Linked DNA regions of Notamacropus eugenii. The protein of the gene in region 2 purifies or fractionates together with the protein of the main gene of each other region. This does not show direct contact. Links are inferred from orthologs where the notes say so. Each region holds a gene or a part of one and is shown on either strand. Other genes may lie near its edges. The genes, in order: RNF8, WRAP53 and MDC1.

Region 1 (7,909 bases), about 17 Mb from region 2:
GAAGGAAGGAAGGAAGGAAGAAAGGAAGGAAGGAAGGAAGGAAGGAAGGAAGGAAGGAAGGAAGGAAGAAGGAAGGAAGGAAGAAGGAAGGGTCTGTTCCATATTGTCTTATTTGGTGATCTCATCAGCTTCCATGGGCTTTAGGTTACAGAATAAACTAGTGGCCTCACAAAGTCAACTCTTAATTTTATTTTTAACTCTTAAGGCACTGTTTGTATCCACATCACTAGGAGTATTCCAACTCCTCCTCCTTCTAGCTCTGTGTCCAGTAGAATGAAAGAAGTAGCCAAGTCAAAGTCAGTCTTGGAGAGCGTGTCAAGAGGCAAGATGTCTTCAAGTGAAAGATAAATTTCCGTAAGCATCAAAGACAGAGGAATGTCAAAGGAAGAGATGTAGGATCACAGAACCATAAATTTAGAGGTGGGTGGAAAGGACCTTGGAGATCATCCAATCTGATTCAGTCATTTTACAGAGGAGGAAACTGAGGTCCACAAAGAAAAGTGAAGTTCCAAGGCCATACAGGTATTAAATGGCAGAGTCTGGTTTTGAACTGGTGCTTTATTTCTATTAAACTGAGAGTGGAGGGTTGGGGGAAGAGAGGCAGCTTACAAATTTCAAGGGGAAGCTGCTTTCAATGATGATTCCCCTTTGCCCCAGCTCCTCCCCACCCCAGCTGATCCTGTGATGATCCAGGGCATGGGTTCCAAGGCAAGGCAATTCATCTGGTTTGGGGGAAAGCAATCCCTTTGCCAGATGGAGAGATTCTTGGGTAGACAAATGACCCTTGGGGTAAGTGAGAGATGATGGGATGCTCTGACTAAGAAGGAAGCAGGCAGATAAGGCCACCAACATTGGGAGGGGTTTGGAAAGAATCAACCCTCCCTGGAGGAAAGTTCACAGTCCTCCCCCAGGATGCTATGGGGGTCCAGCACCAGTTTCCCATTGTCTCTGATTTGGAGTGTTTCTAATCTAGATTTTCTTATGGGAGAAAAATATTTCCTCTCTGAGTTCATATGGTAGGTTACTGCTGCCAAATACTGTATATATTTACCCCAATGCAGAAATTTTAAAGGTAAAAAACCTAGGTTTTATTTATATGCTCAAGCACAGTATGCTTCAAAGAAAGACAAAACCTGAACCCCAACTAGACGTCTTACAAACCCTCTTATAGGTAAAATTATATCAGAGTGACAAGAGAAATAATGCTTTTACATATTGCAATCTTGTAAATTTCTTTTAGATCACATAAGTTAAACATAAGATAGATCCATCAGCTCATACTTTTTCCAATGTCATAAAAGTCAAACAAACTTGAATTATAATCTCTTAGTTCATGATCTCTCATCATCGCCTTAAGGAAATAAACTTTGTCAAACAGACTCTACAGGTAAACTAAGTGAGGTTACAGATTAAACTACATTTCTATTCACAAATAGGCAGATTTACATGTTGGCAAGGAGTCAGGAACAGCTGAGATTCTTCCATGGGCTTTTTATCTAAAGAATGTTTATGGCTTTAAGTAAATTTTCACATCTTATGGGATAGGTTGATATTAAGACAGGGTTTTAGTTAGCCAGAATTTGCAAAAAGGAATGGCCCTGAATCTCAAATAATAAAAGAAAATAAAAAATTTCTATAACAATCTCAAAATCAACCTGACCAAAAGTCAACTCACTTGCTTTCCAAACTTCTTTAGTTCTACTAAGGATGCTGCATCACCCTCCCAGGCGCTCAGGCTCAAAACTATAGAATCATCCCTGATACTATGCTCTTCTTACCCCCAACATCCAATCATTTCTCACATCCTGTCATTCTACCTATGCCACATTTCTTTCTTTCAACACTTTCTCCTCTGGACTGCTGTTATTAACCTGCTAATTTGCCTCCTCCCTGGTCATCTCTCTCCAATCCATTTTCCACAACCTGTCAAAATAATACTCATAAGATACAGGTCCGAGCAGATTGCTTCTCTGTTCAAAAAAAGTGAAGAAATAGCGATTCCCTGTTGCCCCTAGAATAAAATGCAAAGTGGTTAGCCTGATATTTAATGTCCTCCACAATCTGGCAACAACCTACCTTTTCAGCCTTATTTAACATTACTTTTCTTCACATAGTCTACCTTCTACCCAAACCGCACCTCTGGCTATTCCCCAAACTGAGTAGTCTTTGATTGCCTCTGAACCTTTCTCCTTAGAATCTAAGAAGGGGACCAAAACTGTCTCAGAAATAATGACTCAAACAACAAATGAACAAAGCATTTGATTAAACATTGCTGTGTGCAACACACTGTGCTAAGTGCGGGGGATTCTAATAGGAAAGTAAGACAGTCCCTGCTCTCAAGGAGCTCACGTTCAACTTGAAGAGACAACACTCATGGAAAGGTTCAACTCCAAGACAGATGGAAAAGACCCAGGATCCTTAGGGGGCAGTGGCAAAGCATATGGTTAGTTATGTTTCTTAATGTCATTTCCACTGATAAAATCTGTCAGTTTCTGATGCCAAACCATTTGACAATGACAAGGACTTTGGTGAGAAAAGCATCTTCAGTAGCCATGGCTGCAGCACCTGCAGGAGCAGTGAACAGGCTGTATCTTCACAGGGGCTGCTTCCCAGGATGATGGCTGGTCTGGAAGCATGGCTATTTTCAAGCTCTTGTATTCATCGTCCTAGGCTGTCTCTATCTGGGTCTGAGGGGAGGTGGTGGTCAAGATGGTGGTTCTGTTGAGTTGAGTGAGGCACATGATGGCCTCCTGTCTCTCAGGGTGCCTTGCTGTTTTATGAATGACATGAACTAATAAAACCAGCGTTAAACATTCTGTGTAAAAGCAAAGGAGACTAACCAAAAACGTCAAAGGGGTCTAACTTAGCAAAGTATGAAAAGATGCACCATATATGAGGTGTACCCAAGGCAGTGTGCTGGAGCCAGCTGGGAAAAGAAGAACCTATTATGGTCATCTAAATGCTCTGAAATCAACAAAGGCTTGAATTATTGTTTTGTTGATTGTCTAAAGTGATGGAGAAAATGTTAATAATGTAGATTAAACTTAAAAGTGTCTTGCATATTTTTTTTGGAAGAGCCAGTTAAACATTTAACAGCACACTCCTGCCAGGGGGCCCTTATCTCTGTTTCAATAAGGACAGAATAAGATTAAATGACGTTGAAAGAGGAGAAGCCAATGTGAAATACTCTATTTGCACAAACAGAAACCATCCCCAAATATAGATTACCTCCCTAAGCCTCACTTTGAAAAAGGAAAAAAAGTTATGCACTAAAAAAGATAAGCAATTTTAAGTCACAGGTTTTATATGTCCATTTTTTGGGGGGAGGAATAAAGTTTGGATCTATTGATTTAGAGCTGAAACAGATCTTGGAGATCATCTAACACAAACCCCTAATTTTACAGCTGAGCTCTACAATAAACATATGAAGCATGATAATGTCAGGATCCGCATGCCAAGACCAGCGCTCTCTTTTTGCTCCCCTCTCTTTACTCTTAGGAGACAACCTTGTTTTCCAGTGCTAAGGCCCAGCAAGCAAGCTGTGTCCTGAGCCTAGCATAACAACAATCCTTTCTGCTCACCCTCTGGATGAACACATCTGCAACAAAATTCCAGAACTGTTTCACACCAGCACAAGTTGGTACCTGAGCTCTAACAAACACCTGCAGGACTCATGTTCTAGTCAGGAAGCCCTGCTGCGAATCAAACGTGTCTCACTTTTGTAGTTACTCCTCAGTGTCCGGGCTCCAGCTCACTGCTTAACCACTACTATATCTATTGAGATTTGACCACACTAAGGTAGATTTTCTCTGTATCAGAGGAGGCCCCAGGCACCTGTGTCTAGTTTCCTTCTTCTAACAAAATAAAAAATGCTTTTCTGCTTTAACTACTGTTAGCTCTTTGGTCTTATTTTATTTTCCAGAGTTAACTATGGTTGGGATAACTTGTGTGAGCTCTTTGGTATTTTCGGAGTTAAAAGAGACTCTGATCATCTGTTTTCAGGGTTGAGAAGACTCATAAATTATTTAACTCCACTTAAAATGTATTGTGAAAGGTTTCTAATTTTTGTCTTTGAAATACTAGTTCCCAGTATATTAACACAAAGTAAGGGCTTAACTGATTCTTTTTGTTTTGGAATAAAATAACATCATTTTGGAAATAAAGTACAAGTACTTCCAAGTAGTGTATTTATTAAAAGTAAATACGTTAAGCCTACCAAACGCTCATAATTTTAAAAATAACTTTTGAATCAATACAATTCAAACGTCATGAACACAATAAGCACTTATATGAAATGTTTGTAAAGCGCTTTACAAAGTGCCTGGCACGCAGAAGGCGATTAATAAACGTTTGTTCCCTTTGCCCCTCTCCCCTCCCCCTCCCCCATTCATTGTCTGGGCCCAGCATGTCAGTTTCTCGCACCGCAATTAGGCATCCAGCGAATGTAACAATGTCTCAGCCGCAACTTTACTTTCTCCATAAAGCTGGGAGAACATCAGCGCGGCTCTGTGGCTCTGACTACAAGCAGAAGTTCACCGAGAACAGCCAGCTGGTGAGGAGACCCCGCCTCCCGACCCGGGACAACAGAGGACGAGAAGCCCCCACGGCTCCCCCGCCTCTCTCCCGTTTCCCTCCCCACCTCCTTAATGCCTCAAGGACGCATGCGCTAGTGCTTTCACGGGGCGGGGGTGGGGGAAGAGGAGCGTAAGGGAAGGATTGATACTTTCTCACGTGCCGCGACTGGGGCGGGGAGGGGCGGGAACGGGAGCCGGGGCCTTCGAGCGTCCGTGGAATCGATTGCAGTTGCGTAGGCCGGAAGCGTTGATTGCTTCGGTCTGTTACTTAGACATGGCTGCGGCGGCGGAGCCAGAGGTTCCAGGAGGCAGGCAGAGGAGGGACGGCCGGGCCCGGGGGCCCGGCAGGGGCCCTGCCCTGTGCTGACTGAGAGCGTGGCCGGGATTAGGTCCGGGTCCGAGACCGGAATCGGGCCTGGGTCTGTGCCGGCCTGGCCGGCCATGGGGGATCCCGGTGGCGGTGACTACGACGGCCGCCGAGCCTGGTGCCTGCGGCGGGTGGGGATAAACGCCCAGTGGCTGCTGCTCGAGGATCGCAGCGAGGTGAGGGGGGAGGGGCGGCCTGGCCGGGCCGAGGGAGGAGAATGAGGCCCCAGGACGGTGGGGTGGGAGATGAGGCCGCCCGGGGGGTGAACCCAGTGTGTCTGCCTCCGCAGGACCGGAGGGAGAGGGGGGGGGGGGGGGAGTGTGTGTCCTGCTGAAAGAGCAGAGGGGGAGAAGCGGGGCAAAAAATAAAAAAATCTGCCCTGCCGGGAGAAGGAAGGGAGGGGGTGGCCTTAGAGGAGTGAAATGAGAGGCAAGAAAATCAGTGCCTGTTTTATGATGAGCCTTTTCGACCCCCCACCCCAGTCTTAGATCCCTTCATAGTCAATCAGTAAACATTTATGAAGTGTCTACTATGTCCCGAGCATCGTGCTCTGCGCTGGGAAGCTCACAGTCTTAATGGAGACAACATGCAAACTTTAGACAGGATAAAAAGGAAATTGGCGGACTCCAGAATTAAGAGGGCTTGGGAAAGGATTCCTGTAGAAGATAGGAGTTTAGTTGGGACTTAAAGGAAGCTAGGAGGAGAATTCTAGGCCTGGGGAAGAGCCAGTGAAAAAGCCCTGGGTCCGGAGACTAGGTGTCTTTTTGGCAGAACAGAGTACAGTATCACTGGATCGAATTGTATGTGTGGGGGATTAGGGGGAAGAAGGGGGGGTGGTGGTAAAAAGAATAAAAAAGTGGGTGGTGGGGCTAGGGTGTGAAGGGCTTTGAAGACCAGAAGATTTAATATTTGAACCTGGAGATGATAGAGAGCCTCTGGAATTTATGGGGATGGGGGAGAACAAGGGGTGTGTTTACATGATCAGATCTATACCTTAGGAAGATCACTTTTGACAACTTAGTGGAAGATAGACTGAAAGGGGGAGACAACTTGTGGGAAAAAGATCAACGAGCGGACTATTGCCGTAGTCCTGATAGGAGGTGGTGAGAGTCTTGTACTATGACAGCGTCGTAGGAGAGAAGGGGAACAGATGGGAAAGATGTTGCAAAGGTGAGATCACTAGACCATGGCAACAGTTCAGATACCTTCTTACAAGGAAGTGACACTTCTGCTTGCCAAATATTACCCTTCTTGAGCCCTTTCCTTTTCACCTGGCCGGAGCTTGCCCCTCAGCAGTTTAGTCCATCTTTTATTCTCTTGGTGGATATTGGCCTCATCCACTGGCTCTTTCCTTTGTGCCTAAAAACATGCTCAGATGTTACACAGTCCTTCCCTTAACCCTGCTTTTTTACCCCCAGACACATACAACACTCTGTTTCTCTTTTTGTTGCCCAGCTCCTAGGAAAAACTCATTGCCTCACTAAAAGCTCAGTACCTCACTTCTCAAATCGCTTCTCTTTGGTTCCTGACGTTGCCATTCTGCTCAAACTGCTAAACAAATAACCTTTTTTAACTGTTAAGTCTGATGGCCTCTTCTAAGGCTTCTTTCTTGAATTTTCTTCATTTTTTCACGTTGTCAGCCACCTCTTTTCTTGGATATTCCTTCATCCTCTGGTTTCCTTGATGGTTCTCCCTATTCTTTCTTTTTCTACCTAGACCTTTGAGTCTGCTTCCCTTGTTTGGCTCCCTTCTATTACCTTTGGTGATCTCATTTGTTTCTGTGGATTTAAATATATCTATGACTCAGCATTTTTGTTTTTGGATTAAACCTATGATTTTATTAGCATAAGAAGCTCTCCTCAAGAAACTCCCTCTACCAGTGCAGGTGGGTAGGTGCTGAGAAGTGATTTGCTCCGCTCACACACCCAGTATTTAGGAGATTGAAGAGGAAATTGAACCCAGGTCTTACAGATTCTCAAGCCCATTTCCTATCCATTGTGCTAATGAACTCAAACTATATATTTTTTGTAAACCTCTACTGGAAAGGGATTTTTAGCACCCCTATATTTGTGTATTTATAAATTATTTGCATACTACTGTATGCATATAGACATATTATAAAACATACAAAACATAAAAAAATGAGATAGATGAAATAAACAATTTTTCAAATTTTTATTTAACAATACATTTTGGTTAAACAGATTGTGATACAGGGGCCTAGTGCTAATTGTGGTGTATCTTGATACTTTATCTTAATGATTGGCATAGCTGAAAAAGATAACCTCATATAAAGATATTGTCGATCCGAATGGAAGAAATGCTTCATTTGGTTATGTTTGCTAAATCAAGAAACACAGTTTCCAAACCCAGCCACGACAATTATTCATAAGTTTTTGTTGAATTTGTTTTATTAATAACTTCCATCTTCCCTGGTGTCAATTCTTACAAACTATTCAGAAGATAGTACCTTTCTTTTTTTTTTTTAACAAATGAGTTGAAAACCTTTTGAAACTTTTAATTTGCTAGATTTCTAAATAGGCTGTAAAATTTGCAAATTTAAGTGTGCAGATAGTTTTTATAAGTGACATACATTGTTTCTGGCAACAGAAGCTTAGTTTTAAAGGTCATTCTAATAATACTAACTTCATGCTGTGATTAGCTAATATCTCAAAGCACAATATAAACTTAGGGTGAAGTTGTTCATTAATAAAAGATAAATAAAAATAAAGCCACATTTGCTTAATCATAGGTTTGTGGATTTAGAACTAGAAAGGTGAGTTATCAAGTCCAACCCTCTCACTTTACAGATAAGGAAACTGAGGTCCAAAGAAATTAAGTGGTTCACACAACTAATGTGTATTGGAGGAGGAATAATTTTTTATATTTTTGGTTGAATTTTATCATATCTGATTAGATTGTGTGTTTTTAGTTTGTAATGTAGCTGATAAAATGCTTATAGCAGTAA
Region 2 (8,081 bases):
CTGTAATTTTGGTTATTTGGTGAAAATATACCAGAGCACACCCACAGATTGCCTCTGAAGATGAGAAGAGGAGTGGGGGTTACCTAGTAGGGTTGTCCTCATGTGCACTTGAAAAACACTGCAATCACAACCCTACACCCCAAAAGACTGTCAGCAACTGGGTGAAGGATTAATTGACTTGGAATAAGAACGGAAGCAAGAAGACCAGTAAGAGTTTATTACAATAGTCCAGGCTGGAGCTGATCAAAGCCTGAACCAGAATGAAGGTGGAAAGGAAGAAAGAGACAGACTATTAGGGAAATCAAATCAATAATATCTGGTAATTAACTGAATGTAATTTGTTCTCCTTGCCTGTAGTTCAAGTGATAAGAGTTCACAGATGTGAAGACATGGGGCGGGGGGAAGAGAAGAAATAAGGTGTTAACACTCAATTCCTCTTCCAAATATGAACACCTCTCTAAATCAGATGAGGTAACTCCACTGAGCTGAAAACTGGCTAGGTTCTTTAAATAGCTAAGCCCTGGAAACAACCAGCAGCTTAAGAGTTCAGCAGTCAAGGCCAGGAACCAGCAATCAAGGAAGAATTTAGATATTCACCTCTTGGGAGAAGGGACTTTTTCTCTTCCCTGCTCCAACAAGCCAAAGAAATTTGTTCAGAGAGACATCCAACAGATAATGGAAAATCAGTTCAAGAAGAGTTTGAGACAGAATTGAGGTGACAAGAGAAATACTTCAGAAACTGATTCAGAAAAGTGGTCACTAATATCCAGAACTACCTTTGTGACTGATCCAGGTCTCAAAGCAAAAGAGAGAAACCAGCTATGGACTGAAGAGGGCTAGCCCTGGCAATCTAGAGTCAAGTTCCAGCTCAAGAAAGAGACAGACCTTAGGAACCACATAAAGCATCCCAGTCAGAAGAGATGCTGTGCTTACGAGGGAGCTTAATGATTCTAAGACTTTGAACAGTGGGGACTAGGAAGATAGTGGTAACATCAACGGAAATACATGCCAGGCTTCTTTCAAAGCTCAGCTCAAAAGCCACCTCCTTCAAAGGAAGCCTATCTTGACCCCCAATGCCTGAAGAAATTAGTTTATACACACACATGTATGTATATATATGTGTGTACATGTGCATATATATGTACGTGTGTGCATATATAAATTTTCTATGTATGTCTTACTTTCCCTAAGAGAAGAGAAAGGTCCTTGAGAAGGATAGAAGTAGTTTTACTCTTTCTTGTCCTACTATCAACTGGAACACTGCCTGACATATTGTAGGAGCCAAATGAATACAAAGGAAAAAAAATCCTCCCTTACTCTAAAGAAGCAAAGGATATGGGACACAGGGAAAATAATAGGAGGAAGATTTTAACTGTGGTATTAGGAAAGGCTTAGAGAACACAAACAGACTTCGAGAGAAGCTAAGGAAAATGTGGGAATGCTTTTCAGCCCTAGAAGAAACCTACAGAGTCTGGTTGGACCGTGTACAGGTTGTACAAAAGGAATAATAGGAACTAAGTCTGTAAAGATAAATTATGGCCAGATAGTGGGAAGTTCTACACTTGCATTTTATCCTAGAAGCCACAGGGAGACCAAGGAACATTTCTCTTCAAAAACTTGATGTGGGTCAGATTTATATAAAGAACTTACTATTTACAATCAGGAAGAAAAGACAGGAGGGAACATCTTCCGTAGGGGTGACTGAAGAAAAGGTACAGGTTCCGACACTCACCATTTCTGCATTCTCGAGTTCTTCCTCCTCATTATACAGCTCTGGCGGGAGGTTATAAATCCGCAAGGTGTTGTCGGCACTGTTGGTCAAGAGGCAGGAGCCATCGGGGGCCCTGGAGGCAGAGGAGATTTAGGCTGGATGCCTGGTAGCGGAGTGAGTGGGGAGGTAGGAACTCCTGAGTCCCTGAAGGAAATGGCAGGCACTGGGTCCTGGGAGAGAACTGAGCAATAAAGACCCAGTTCAACTTAATTCAAAGAAGACAGCCCAGATCCAACACCTCCCTGCCACTACAATCTTGTCCTTTCTCATCCAGTACCCTCCCCGCCATCTAATTCACCCAGAATCTTCCTTCTCCTCCCCCACCATTATCCTTACCATTTACAGCCTTTTAGGAAGTTCTCAGGTTGCAAGCTGAACTCTGACCAGGAGCCATTGAGGAGGCGAGGGGGCTGGGAGAAATTGTAGCTCCAGGAGCTGGAAGGAGATGAAGAGTGGGCGCTAGGCTTCGGGAGGACCAGGGGGAGGGGCAGGACAGCCGCGCTGATACTTAGTTGCCGAAGGAAGCAGGGCTGGGAGGGGAAACAAAGCCTTCCCCGAAGGGAGCAGCCCGCCTCCCAGTCACTTACTAGTACTCCTCGCACTCCGGGGCTGGCTCCTGCAGGACTTCCTCCGCCGGCTCACCAGGCGCGAATTCGGGGGCTGCCCCCTCACCCTCGGGGAGGCCGTCGGTTGGGGCGGGCTCCTGCCCTTCTCCAGCAGTCACCTCCTCCACAGGGGCTTCTGCGTCCGGTCCCGGAGGAGCAGGGGTCTCAGGGTCCCGCTCTTCCCCCAGCTCCATAGAAGGGGTCGGGGGCTCCGCTGGCTCGGGCGCAGCCTGGGGGGCGTCATCGCTGCAGCAGGGGGCGAGTGCTGGCTCCGTGGTTATGGTTATTGGGCCCTGGGAAACCTAGGGAAAAACATGGGCCAGGTGGGCGGCGGGGGGCGCTTAAATGTTTGTGTGCACCGCACCGGGCGCGCGCCCCCACACGCACGCGCACACACAAACAAACCCACGAGGGGAGACGCGGGACGCTCCGAGGCGAGGCCTGCTGGGGGAAGGGACTTGCCTAAGATCACAAAAGTAGTGGCGGCTAGAGCCGGCTTTGTGGTGCGCAATACAGGAGGCCGAGGGGGGCCCGCAGGAGTCGAGGGGCGCCTTGCTCTCCACGGGCTGGTCGGGCCACAGGTCCCGGCTCCCCAGCGCAGCCCAAGCCCAGCGGCCGCCAGCCAGGTCCCCCGGAGTAGCGGGGCGCGAGCCAGAGACGCCGTCTTTCTCTGGCGAGATTTCCGCCGGCCTTCTGATTGGTCCTTAGTTGAGCGGGCTACGGAACGGCCGTAAGACAGGCCTGGACTACAACCCCCATCGATCTCCCAGGACTTCCCCCGCCCCTCCGCCTCCGCGGCCACCCTGCTGCTTGCTGGGAGTGGTAGTTCCTAGTCACGTTAGGCAAGGCGCTCTCCCTTCCGCAGCCCCCCTCCCGCCTCTCACCTCCAGGGGACGCCCTGACTACACACTTAGGCCAGCCGCATGGCAGTGGGTGGGGAGGGCTGAGACTGAGGAGGAGAACGGCCCGCCTCCAGTTACTGTAAGCAGTGGAGGAGGCCGTCAAGTCCAGACTTGACATGCGGCGTGTATGGGTGCAGGAGGGCAGGGGACGGAATGCTGTTGGATGTGAGCGGGAGCCAGTCAGAAAAGGAACAAATGGAGCGGATGGTGCTGCTGTGGAGCAAGAGCTGACCCGGATGGTACCGCGGACCCTGGGCAAGTCACTCACCTCTCTGTGCCTCGGTTTCCTCATCTGTAAAATGGACCAAATGAGCTAACATGGAAAGTGCTTTGTAAGCCTTAAAGCGCTTACAGAAATGCTGCTGCGTTTGTCCTTCGTTCTGGAAGAGGACCATGACGTCCAGGTGATGACATGAGTTGCATTGACCTTGACTGGAGGGAGGGAGGGCTGCGCAGGTCACCAGCCTCACTTCTCCTCCAGAGCCATCTGGATCCAAAGACCAGATAGTCACCAGGATGCCTGGAGATGACCCAGGATGCAAGGGAGACCTTGGCCCTTTCAGGCTAAAGCCTTATCATTAGTTATGTCTGGAAAAAGCAGATAGATCATGGAAGATATCAAATGCTAAAAACACTGGCTGTTGCTTAGTGTTGTCTTCCCTAGAGACGCTGAGGAGTCACTGGAAGGTCTGTGGTGGAGAAAGTGATGTGGTCAGGCCTTTGTCCTAGGCAGACCATTATGGCAGCTTGTGGAGGATGGAATGGATGTGAGGGTACCCCACTGGTAAGTTATTTCAGTACTCAAGTGAGGAGTGATTGGAAAATATAACTAGGATGGTTAAGGATGAGTGAAGAAAGAAGAACAGATGGGAGATATGCCCTAAAAATAGGAATGTCAAGACCTAGTAATTTATTGAACATAATACTGGGGCAATCAGAATGAAGACTTGTCAAGGCTAGAGGATGTATTATGTGTGTGCATGTTACATACACACATATAGACTTGGGAATCATCTGTATAAAAATGATCATTGAACCCACAAGAACTAACTGAATCATCAGTGTATAGGGAGAGAGAAGAGGGCCCAGGATGGAGACTTGAGGGATACCCATATTTAGAGTGCCCATTCACTGACTGCCTATAGCAGGAGTGGAGAACCTGCAGTTTTAACAGAACAAATCCTTTTATTAAAAGGGATTTGTTCTGTGAAGTTTGGATTCAGTCAAAGGGCTGCATCTGAGGACTTTAGAGGGCCACACGTGGTCTCGAGGCTGCAGGTTCCTTACCGCTGGCCTATAGTTTCTAGTATAGAATGCAAATTTAAAGTCTTCCACAGTCTGGCTCTGACCTAATTTTATAGCCTTAGTTTATGCTTCTAGAACCTGTAAACATTCCAGTTTTTGCTGAATTTGCACTCCCACTCTTTCCTTAGCTTCTTTCGAGGTCTGCTCAAATGTCTTTCCTAATCTCAAAATCACCAGCCCCAACTGTTGTGCCTCCCATCAATGATAAATAACAATTTGTTGTCAGCAGATTCTAAGACGGCATAGTAGCTTTCCAGGGTCTTTCTTCTGATGATGATCCAGCAAAGGAGGGGACAGAAGAAGCAATCAGAGGTAGGAGGAGCCCCAGAAGAGTCACAGAAATGCTAAGGCTCTGGAGGGTATGATTATACAATGTCAGAGGCTGTAGAAAGGGTCAGTAGAATGAGGACTGATAAAAGATCATGGGATTTTATTAGTGGTAAGATGGAAATTTACCTTGCAGAAAAAACTTTTAATCGAGTATCAGGGTCAAAATCCAGAATGAAAAGTGAATAAGAAACAAGGGAGTGGGAAAAACAAGTGTAGAAAATTTTTTGTAGGACTTTGTGAAAGGAGGGAGAAATAAAGGCAGGATAATAATGATAGGGTCAAGTGAAGGGTTGCTTGTTTTTTAGTGTTTGTTCGTCCTTGGTTGCTGAAGAAGACCATGCCACCAGAGAAGTAATGACATGACTTGCCCTTGATTTTGTTTTGAGGGAGGGAGGGCTGTGCAGGTCACCAGTCTCACTTCTCCTCCAGAGTCATCTGAATCCAGTGACCAGATATTCATCAGGATAACTGGAGATGACCCAGGATGAGGAAATTGGGATTAAGTGATTTGCCCAAGGTCACACAGCTAGTGAGTGTCAAGTGTCTGAGTGAGATTTGAACTCAGGTCCTCCTGACTCCTGCACTGGTGCTCTATCCACTGTACCACCTAGCTGCCCTTGTTTGTTTTTTAATGATGAGAGAGATACATGCTCATGTTTGCAGGCAATGGGAAGGAAGTATTGACTCCTGATAACTCAAGATTGAAGAAGAGAGAGGGGGAATGATTAAAGAGTAAAATTACAGAAGAAGAGGAAAGGGGATAAACAAGAGTACAAAAGTAGAGGTCATGGCAGGGTAAGGTTCTCTTCCTTACAGACTCAATCTCTCTTTATCCACTAGTTTCTTCCCTCCTACCTACAGACATGTCCAGATCTCTCCTATCTTTAAGAAGCATTTACTTGATCCTACAAATCTCCTCAATGTAACCCTTGAAAGTAAAACTCGTAAACAAAGGTTAGGGGTGGGAGGGTCTATATTTTTTTTAATATTTTGATAACTGTATTTCATCAGAATTGGTTTCAATTGTAATCCCATATATTTTATCTTATACATTTATAAACCCTATTTTAAGAAGGGGTTCATGATGCAAAAAAGCTTAAGGACCTGATCCTGGAAAAAGCTGTCTATTGCTTCTATTTTATCACACACACCCCCCCACTCACTTTTCACCCTTTTATGATCTGACTTCTAAACTCAACTGTATATACTCTCTCCAAGATCACTCATGATAACTGTGTCCCTAAATCTACTTTTTCTCAGTTCTCATACTTCTTGACATGGCTGTTGATCAGTCCCTCCTTTTAGATGTTCTCTGCTCCCTCCTCCGTTTCCTTTATATGATCATGCTTCACCCTTCACATGCAGGTATACCTCAAGACTCTCCCTTGCTCATCCTTTCTGTATATTCTCTCTTATTCTTGTTAGTTCTTATGAGTTCAACTATTATCTCTATTCAGATGACTATCAAATCTATATATCCAGGTCCCATCTGTCTCCTAAATCCCAGGCCTGCATCTCTAACTACCTGCTCAACATCTCCACCTAAGATGTACCATAAGCATTTCAAACAGAACATCCAAAAGTGAACTCATCTTTTTTCCCTTAAGCCTTCCCCTTCCCCTAACTTCTGTTGAGGACTCCACCAGGTTTACAACTTAGGATTGCTGACTATGCATTCTCACTCATCCCTTCACAAGTTTTTTTCAACTTTAACCCTACAGTATGTTTCATATCCATTCCCCTCTCTCCACTTACCACAACTACTCTTGTTCAGTTTCTCATCACCTCTTGCTTAGACCATCAAGAGCCTCCTAAGTGGTCCCCCTGAATCCAGGCTCTCATCTCTCCGAACCTATCATCAGCACAGCTTCTGAATTGATATTATTAATGTACAGACCTAATTATTTCTCTTGGTTAGGCAGTGCCTTCACATTGCTGCTAAGAAGAAATAGAAAATCACATATTGGGTAATTAATCCACAATTGCCAGGGCTCCTGCCTGTCTTTCTTTTTTTAAGTTTTGCTTTATCTCATATTTTAAGAAACTACTTTTCTCCCTTCCAGTTCCTCCTAAACATAACAAATATGCATAATGAAGCAAAACAAGTTCTCATATTGGCCACGTCCAAAAAAATGTATGTCTCATTCTGGATTCAAAATCTATCATGTCTCTGGCAAGAAGTGCAAAGCTTGCTTCATCTTAGGTCCTCAGGAAATGTGATTTGTCATTTCATTGACAAGAGTTCTAAAGTCTTTCAGAGTTGTTTTTCTTTATAACATTATCATTGTGCACATTGTACTCTACTTCTGCTCATTTCACTCTGCATCAGATCACAGAAGTATAATCCGTTCCCTCTGAAATTGTCCATTTAATCATTTCTTATGGTGCAATAAATATTCCATTACACTCATGTACCATAATACATTTTAGCCATTACCCAATAGGTGGGTCCTCCCAGAGTTTCTAGTTTCTAGCTAGTACAAAAAGAGCTGCTATAAATATTTATATATTTATATATATGCATATATGTATGTGTATACATATATGTATATATATGCTTTTTGCCTTTTGTCTATGATCTCATAGGGCAAAAGTCTAGTAGTGGTATTTTTTTCATATAAATTGATTTATTTTCAGTTTTCAACATTCTGAGTAGTGGTATTACTGGGTCAAAGGCTAGTAACTTTGGAAGAATAGTTCTAAGTTGCTTTCTACTATGGCTAGACCAATTTATAGCTCCATCAACTATATGTTCTTTCAAAAAGTCCCTGCAAACATTTGTCATTTTCTTCTTTCTCCATCTTTGCCAATACTACTGGTATGAGGTGGAACCTTGTGGTTTCTTTCATTTGCATTTCTCTATTGACAGCACTGATAAATACACCATTTTCATGTTCACGAACTCTGAAATTCCCTTATCTGCTCACAAACCATTGTCATTCTATCTCTTTCTCTGCCTTAAAACCCCAAACCTTGTTTTTCCTCACCATAACCTCCAGTCCCTCATCCCCTGTACTAGCTATTCCTTCTCCATTTTGACCCCTTGTTGAACCAGTTCAACTCCATACTGTCCTCATTTCTACTTCCCATCTTGCCCAAACCTCAGCCTCGGATCACTCATACCACCCACTGCCTTTGCTCCCACACTTATGTGCCACTGAACAAAGC
Region 3 (8,085 bases), about 6.3 Mb from region 2:
CTGGAAGTTGGCTCTTCTTCACATATGTCAGAGATCCATTGTCATCCACATCTGTATCACTGTCCCCATCTCCACCAATGGGGTGCTGGTCCTTCTCAAGATGTACTGTGGAGAGTTCTGTTGGGGCCCCCTCCTTTTTTATATCTGTACTGTTTGTCCCATCTATGGGTACCTGATCTTTTCCCAGACAGACTACAGATGGCGCTGCTGGGATAGAGTCCTCTTCTATATCTGTATCACTGTCCCCCCTATCAGGTTGGCACATTTTCAAGTGTGGTTTAGCTGGACTCACTGAGAGACCTTCCTCTTTCAAGTCTGTACCGCTATCTACCAAAGGTGCCACAGCTGAAGTCCTTTGGAGATTGCCCTCATCATCAACATCTGTATCACTGTCCCTGTCAGTGGGCAAGTTCTCCTTCAGATGTGCCTCAGAGACAACTGCCATGATGCCCTCTTTTCTTTCCACATCTGTATCACTATCCTTTCTCACACCTAAGGGGTGGTTCTCTCCACCAGTCTTACTCCACTCTTTATCTATAGTAGAGCCTCTCCTGGTAGCTAAGGAGGGCTCTCTCGGGGGAGGATCTTCCTCTTCATCTGTGTCACTATCCAGAATGAAAGTAAGAGGCAGTGCAGGGTTCTTGGTGCCTGGTGAAGCTCCCTCCACATCACTGATGGGAAAAGAGAAAAGATAGAGAACTTGGAATTCAGATCCCAAGAAAGGACTCAGGCACTCAAAACTTTAGTTCCTAGTTCTCTTCCCTTCCCACCTCAAATAACTATTATTAAAGGACTAGCTACTATGCCCTTGGTTCTCCCTCCTGTAGCTTCCTTCTTCCCTTTACAAAATTCAGTTGTCTGGCCCCATAGTACTCACCTCTCTGGTACTACAGTTTCGGACGGGGAGTATGTGACAGGTACCTTGACACTCCCGTCCAAAGGAGAATCTGGGGAGAAGAATGGACTTTGTAATTTCATATTTCCCAGGCTCTTCTCCCTACCCACCACTTCCTGATACCTAAAATTTACCTTCCTCCTCTGAATCTTCAGCCAATAAGATCCCCTGGAATTGGGGTCCCCCCATACCTGGAACCTTAGGTGTCTCTTCCACACTTAGAGCCCCCCGGGGGCCAGGAAGTGGAGGGGCACTCAGACGGTGATATTGGCAAGGCAGGTCAGCAAAGAGTACCAAGTCTTGGTCCCTCAACTGATGGCCCACTCCAGGGCTTAGGAGTTTGGGAGGTCTCAGAAGTCGTGTATGATTGAGGCTCCCACAATCTCGAAGGATAGGTGCCCTGCCTTGGGCTGGAATGTCAATTATTGCATGCTGTTTGGAGATGGACGGAAAAGGCAGAGCCACAGTACAGCCAGGTATTCTGCCAACCACATTCTCCCCAGGGTACAGCAGGAAATCTGGGGGCAGAAATTCAATGAGGTATTACTTGTAAAGCCAGAGATCTGCCCCATTCCTGCTCTTCAGTGACTTTTTTTTCCTTTGGCTTCCCTCATCATACATTTTCATTCTCTTTAAGAAAAAAATAGAGGAAAATCTATAGGATTTTCTATAAGAAAGATATAGGATTCACAATGTATGGGGTAGGGGGGTAAAAGGGACAGAAGCATCAGAAAAGCATAAGCCATTGCAGATCATTATTTTAGTTTACCTCCTCCTGTTTATTTTAGCCTGATTCTCCTAAGTCATCACCAAAGGAAATATTCCCCAAATGTATCAAGGTTAGTTATAAATTATCCTGCAAAGAATCAGATTAAACCAGGAGAAATTTTCCCTCTCCATCTCCCCTGCCACATGAACAGGCCCCACATTCTCTTTTGCCTTTTATCAATCATGAAAACAAAGTCTGCACCCCGCCCCCCTTAGTACCCAATACCCTCTGACCTTTCTCAGGTCCTCGAACAGTGCTGAACAGGTGCAGCCGCCCTACAGGCTCCAGGCCGAAACGTGGCGGAGAGCTATTAGAATCCTCAGGCTCCTCCTCCTGAGCCTCCCAGTCCACCAACTGTGTGTCCTCCATTATCTGGGATGCGGAAAGGGGAGGGGAAAACACGCTACCACTATCAGACATCGAATAATCAATCTAGCACTAGACAGCAGGGCACGGGTGGGGAGAGTGGCCAGGGCAGCAATGGGGCATTTGGGAAAACCTATCGCACCAAGGATTCCGCCCTTAGGAGATCTAGGCCAAGGTAACGGAAGAGAGACGCGTGGAGGGGGTGGGGCGGGTGGGGCAAGGGAATTCGATTCTGACTGCTACTTACAACCTGTGTAACCTTGATCAAGTCACTAAAGTTCTCTGGGTCTTAAACTTCCTCATCTGTAAAAAAACAAAAAAAACCAAAAAACAACGGGCTTGAACTAAAACCAATCCTGAACATCCCCTTTCACCTCTTAAAGAAAGGGGGAGGGGCAACCCCAATTCTGAGGTGCTGGAGTTGACCCCCTATCCTCACTCGGTGGGAACCTGGGTGGAAGGGTGGAGGGTGGGGGTGGAACCTAGGGCCGTCCGTCACCCGCCCACCTGGGCCACACCCTCTCCCTGGGCCGAGTCTCGGCCACGAGCGACTCGAAGGAAATTACGGCCTCCCGTCCTCACATCCCCCAGGGCCGCTTGTCACCCGGACCCCCCATTCCCTGGGTGACCCAAACCATCGGATTTCCCGAGATCCTACAGCGAGGCCCAGGGCACTCGGACCTATACCCATTAGAGTAAGGGCGCCAGCAATCCCAGGAAGCAAACCTCCGAATAGTTCCCGCCCAGATTTTCCCAACCTAATGGCCACTTCGCCTCCCTCAATAGAGGGGATCCAAAATGGCGCCCAATCAAGACCGGTAGTTAAGAGCCCCCGAACTCACAGGATTCGGGTCCGCGCGCGCGCGCGCGCCACCCAAACAAGCAAAGAGTGAGGCGCCCACGACCGCTGACGCTCTGATTGGTTCCTTCCACCGTCCCTCAAGGACGATTCTCACAATGATTGGTCGAGCCTACCGGCAGGAGTTGGGACATGTCCAGGCAAAACGCCTCTTGCCTTTCACTTGGGGAAGAGGCCGCTGCAGCGCCTCGCTTTCCCATTGGCTTCGGTTGACGGTGGAGGTGGGGCCACCTCGCGCGCCTCCAACGGCACTCTCAGATTGGTAATAAGCGCTAGGATTCGAAGGTTAACCTCCGCCCGCCGCTGCCGCTCCCGCGCAGTATCCACCTTGTAACCCCTGAGTGTGGCGCCGGCTGACTGCGGCTGCGTGGAAAGGATGGAAACCGCCCATCACCCCGTCAGAAGGGACCGGAACAGCCATTCCTGGTCCTCCCAGACATGGCTCCTGCTGACTCATGAGAAAATGGAAGGGGACAATGCATAACCAGACAGGGGTTAGAGAGTGTGAGATGACAAAAGACAGAAATAATTTCGATACATCAAATTTAACAGTTTTTGCAAGAACTAAGTAAGTGCAGCTGATAGGAGGAGTTATAGGTTTTGGGGGAAAATCGTTACAACCAGCACGAACGTTTTATGCACCCAGCAGTAGTAGGGAATTATCCCAAATGTGTAAAACGGTGTAACCATGAATAATAATTAAATTTAAAAAAAAGTTTCGCCTCAGACTCAGCATTTTGGATAACAGTCAGTGCTGGAAGGGCAGTGAGATGTCAAGCACAGTAAAAAATTCTTTTGTTGTTTCTACTCCAAGGACATTAAAAACAGAAAGGACTCATATTTGCCAAAATATTCTGAGCCCTTTGGGGAAGGAAGTAAAAACTGAAAGCAAAATGGGTGCTAACAGTGAATATAACTTGAGCAAAGGTGCAGGTTAGAAATAAATTCACATGAGTACTTCTGTACAGTCTATTAAAAAAACTACAGAATGTACAAAATACAGGTACTATATGAATATAAAACACCTTCTGAAAATAGACATCTAAATAATTGGAGAAATATTATTTGTGGATAGGCAAAGCCAATATTATAAAAATAACAGTGATCTAAATTTATTTATTCAGTTCCATGTTAATCAAGCTACCAAATAATTAGAGATGGAAAAAAATGAGAAAATTCATCTAGAGAAAGGTTTAAGAATCTTGAGGGAAATAAGGAAAAAGTGAGAAGGGAGGGGTACCAGATCTCAAGCTTTATTACAAAAATAATCATCATCAAGTTGACTTAGTACTGGTTAAAAGATAAAACAGAAAAGGGTAGCTAGGTGAATATCGCTATGAAGAGTACCGAACCTGGAGTCAGGAGGACTGAGTTCAAATTCGACCTCATGCCCTTACCCTGTGACCTTGGGCAAGTCACTTAACCCCAATTGCCTTGCCTTCCCCCTTCCAAAAAAAAAGTAAAAAAACATGAAACAGATTAGGTAAACAACATACAAAAGCAAACAATATAGTAGCCTTAATGTTCCATAAACTCATCAGTCAACTGGCATTTGTTTATTTTTAACAATTATTTGTGTTTTGTTAAATATTTCCCAATTATATGTAAAAAAATTTTTTTAACAGTCATTTAAAAAAATTTTGACTTCTAAATTCCTTCCCTTCCTCCCACCCCTCCCCCATTCTTTAGAAGGCAAGCAATTTGATATTTCCATAATAGCCATGTTACAAAAGAAAGCAAAACATTAAAAATAAAGTCTTTTTTTTTAAAGGATGCTTCAATATGCATTCAGAGGTAATTAGTTCTCTCTCTCTGGAGATGGATAGCATTTTTTCATCTGGGTCCTTTGGAATTGTCTTGGCTCATTGTCTTGATCAGAATAGCTGTCTTTCACAATTGCTCATCCTTACAATATTACTGTTACTGTGTATTATGCTCTCCTAGTTCTGCTCACTTCATTTTGTATCAGTTCATATAAGTCTTCCACGTTTTTGTGAAACCATCCCCTTCAAGATTTCTCATTGCACAATATTAGTCCATTACAATCATATACCACAACTTACTGGTGTGGTAATTTTCGGTTACCTTTGCCACCACAAAAAGAGCTCCTACAAATATTTATATACAAACAGGTCCCTTTCCCTTTCATGTCTTTCCAATATAGATCTAGTAGTGGTATTGGTGGGTCAAAGGGTACACACACTTTTATAGAACTTTGGATGTAGTTCCAAATTGTTTTCCAGAATGGTTGGACTAGTTTTCAATACCATCAACAATTCATTATTGTTCATCAACAGTATCATCAATAGTCCCATTTTTTTCCACATCCCCTTTAGCATTTGTCATTTTTCTTTTTGTCATGTTAGCCAATCTGACAGGTATGAGGTGGTATCTCAGAGTTGTTTTAATATGCATTTCTCTAATCAATAAGGCTTTAGAGAATTTTTAATGTGACTATTGATAGCTTTGATTTCTTCTTCTGAAAACTGCCTGTTCATATTCTTTGACCATATCAGTTAGGGAATAGCTCTTTTTTAATATATAAATTTGATTTAGTTCATTACATATTTGAGAAGTGAGGCCTTTATCAAAGAAACTTGCTATAAAGTTTTTTTTTTCCCATCAACTAGTATTTGTTAATTATGTGTCTATTATATGTCAGGAATTGTGCTAAGCCCTAGGGATCCAAAAAAGTCCACAGACAAACAAAACTGGGCCCTGCTCTCAAGAAGCTCACATATTAATGGTGGGGGGGGGAAGGAAATAACATGCAAATAATTGTGTATAAACATGATATATATATAATATATTATAATATATAATATAATATATTATTAAATATATACTATAATGTATACTATACTATAATATAATAATATATAATGATATATATATATATATATATGATAAATTGGGCATAACCTTAAAGGGAAGGCACAAAGAGAATGGAGGTTTGGGAAAGAGTTATTGCAGAAGGTGGGATTTTAACTGAAATTTGAAAGAAGCTACGGAAACTATGAGGTGGCTGTAAGGAGGGAGAGCATTCTAGGCTTGGGAAACAGGCAATGAAAATGCCTAGAGTCAGGAGATGGATTGTCTCGGAACAACAGCAAGGAGGCCAATGTCACAGGACTGCCAAGTATGTGTAGAGGAATAAGGCGTGAGAAAACAAGAAAGGTAGAAAAAACCAAATTACAAAGGGCTTTAAAAGCCAAACAGATTTTATATCTGATCTTGGGTATTAGGGAGCCAGTGGAGTTTATTGAATAGGGAGATGAAATGGTCAAATCTGCCCTTTAGGAATATCAATTTGACTGCTGAATGAAGGATGGAGTGGAGTGGGGAAAGGCAGGGAGACCAACCAGCAGGCTATAGAAATAGTCTAGATCTGAAGTGAGGAAGGACTTCACCAGGGTGATTACGTCAAATGACCCCAACTATTGAGGAAGAGATTCACTGTTTGACAAAAACTGCTAGTAAAACTGGAAAGTAGTCTGATTTAGACCAACACCTCACATTATTTACCAAGATAAGATCCGAATGGTTATATGACTTAGATTTAAAAGGTCACATAAATAAAATGAAGGAGAAAGGAAGAAATTACCTTTCTTATCTGGATAGGGGAAAAGTCTGTGACCAAAGGATTACATAAGATAAAATGGACAATTTTGACTATGTAAAATTAAAAGTTTTGCACAAACACAATCAATGTAGCTAAGCTTAACAGAGAGATAGTTAAGTTTTGCAGTAAGTTTCTCTAATAATTGTCTCATTTTCTGGATATATAAGAAATTGATTGGAAGAATTAGTCATTCCCCAAATGACAAAGGATATGAACAAGGAAGTCTCACAGGAAAAAATACAAGTTATCAATAGCCATATTTTAAAAATGTTCCAAATCATCAGATCATCAAAGGTGACAAAAAAGGAAAACGGTAAATGTTGTAGGAGCTCAGGGAAAACAGATATATGCATTGTTTGTGGAGTTTTTTAATTGGTCCAGCCACTCTGAAAAGCAATTTGGAAGTATGCCCCCCAAAAGTTACTAAATTGTGCACATGATTTGACCCAGCCATACAACTTACTATGAAGAGAGAGGGAAAGAACCCATATGAAAATGGGTTAATGGGAAAAACATTTGTAACAGATCTTTCTGAGGTAACAAAAAATTGGAAAGTAAGGGGGAACTATCTACTAGGGGAATGGCTAAACTAATTTTGGTATGCAAATATAATGGAATACTATTCTGCTGTAAGAAATGATAAAATGGACAGTTCTGGAGACTTTTATCAGCTGATCTTAAATGAACAAGAAGAACAATTTGTACCATAACAACAGTGTAAAAATAAACACATTGGAAATACATAAGAATTCTGACCAACACAATGACCAATTATGATTCTAAAAGACTGTTGGTGAAGAATGTTACTCGGAATGGACCAAATATGCAGAATAAGACATACATATTAAAACATTGCCAATGTAGGAATTTATTTTACTATTCATATTTGTTACAAGGATTTTTTTTCTTTTTTTCAGAATATTTTTTTCTTTTTTCAGAATATTCCCTATTCAGTGGGAATAGAAACAACAGAAAAAAATGCTTGTAATTTTAAAAGTAATTTATTGACTGGAGAGTTGCTGAACAAATTGTGGCATACAAATGTAATGGAATATTATACTAAGAAGGATTATTGGGAAGTGATAAAGTGTAAAAAAACAAAACATAATAAAACATCTTTTAAAATAGAATAGGGAATGCAGATCTTACAGACTATTATAAAGCCACTTAACTCAGGCCTGAACAACTTGTGGCAAGGATTTCTTCTACATACAAAGGATGTTTTCCTGTACATTTTTTTGTAGGTTCCCCCCCCCCCTTTCCCCCAAATCCTTTGGCATGCTATAATCAGTCTGAGGGTCGTTAGCTCCCAGGGCTGGTTGTGCAGGCCTGACAACTTCTCAGTGCCCTAGGTAATTCTCTTAAAACTACAAGTTGCAGAGAAGTATAGATTTTTACTAGTGGAAGAAATTCACTGTACAAAAGAAACCACAGGTCCAATCCCAGTTCTCTAAATGGGCATAAAACCTGAAATACCTACCTTCAAAATAATATATGTATATGTAAATACATGCATACACACATATGTATATATATGACTTACTGTTCTTTGTGTTATTATTCAAAAATAAAAT

The links.
Region 1: the proteins of WRAP53 (region 2) and RNF8 purify together in Homo sapiens (affinity purification with western blotting; 3 studies listed by BioGRID). This does not show direct contact. The link is inferred for Notamacropus eugenii from reciprocal best matches to the Homo sapiens genes WRAP53 and RNF8.
Region 3: the proteins of WRAP53 (region 2) and MDC1 purify together in Homo sapiens (affinity purification with western blotting, with the first as the bait; 3 studies listed by BioGRID). This does not show direct contact. The link is inferred for Notamacropus eugenii from reciprocal best matches to the Homo sapiens genes WRAP53 and MDC1.

Annotation. Positions count from the first base shown.
Region 1 is NC_092873.1:95,059,536-95,067,444, forward strand, and holds the start of RNF8 (E3 ubiquitin-protein ligase RNF8), read left to right. Parts: upstream 1-4,823; 5' UTR 4,824-5,015; coding exon 5,016-5,117; intron 5,118-7,909. UniProt on the Homo sapiens protein: E3 ubiquitin-protein ligase that plays a key role in DNA damage signaling via 2 distinct roles: by mediating the 'Lys-63'-linked ubiquitination of histones H2A and H2AX and promoting the recruitment of DNA repair proteins at double-strand breaks (DSBs) sites, and by catalyzing 'Lys-48'-linked ubiquitination to remove target proteins from DNA damage sites.
Region 2 is NC_092873.1:78,281,953-78,290,033, forward strand, and holds the start of WRAP53 (telomerase Cajal body protein 1), read right to left. Parts: upstream 3,061-8,081; 5' UTR 2,839-3,060; exon of another isoform or gene 2,679-2,838; 5' UTR 2,571-2,678; coding exon 2,359-2,570; intron 2,207-2,358; coding exon 2,108-2,206; intron 1,845-2,107; coding exon 1,733-1,844; intron 1-1,732. UniProt on the Homo sapiens protein: RNA chaperone that plays a key role in telomere maintenance and RNA localization to Cajal bodies. Specifically recognizes and binds the Cajal body box (CAB box) present in both small Cajal body RNAs (scaRNAs) and telomerase RNA template component (TERC).
Region 3 is NC_092873.1:84,570,296-84,578,380, forward strand, and holds the start of MDC1 (mediator of DNA damage checkpoint protein 1), read right to left. Parts: upstream 3,037-8,085; 5' UTR 2,873-3,036; exon of another isoform or gene 2,712-2,872; intron 2,334-2,711; 5' UTR 2,281-2,333; exon of another isoform or gene 2,278-2,280; intron 2,037-2,277; 5' UTR 2,034-2,036; coding exon 1,898-2,033; intron 1,414-1,897; coding exon 1,030-1,413; intron 948-1,029; coding exon 878-947; intron 672-877; coding exon 1-671. UniProt on the Homo sapiens protein: Histone reader protein required for checkpoint-mediated cell cycle arrest in response to DNA damage within both the S phase and G2/M phases of the cell cycle.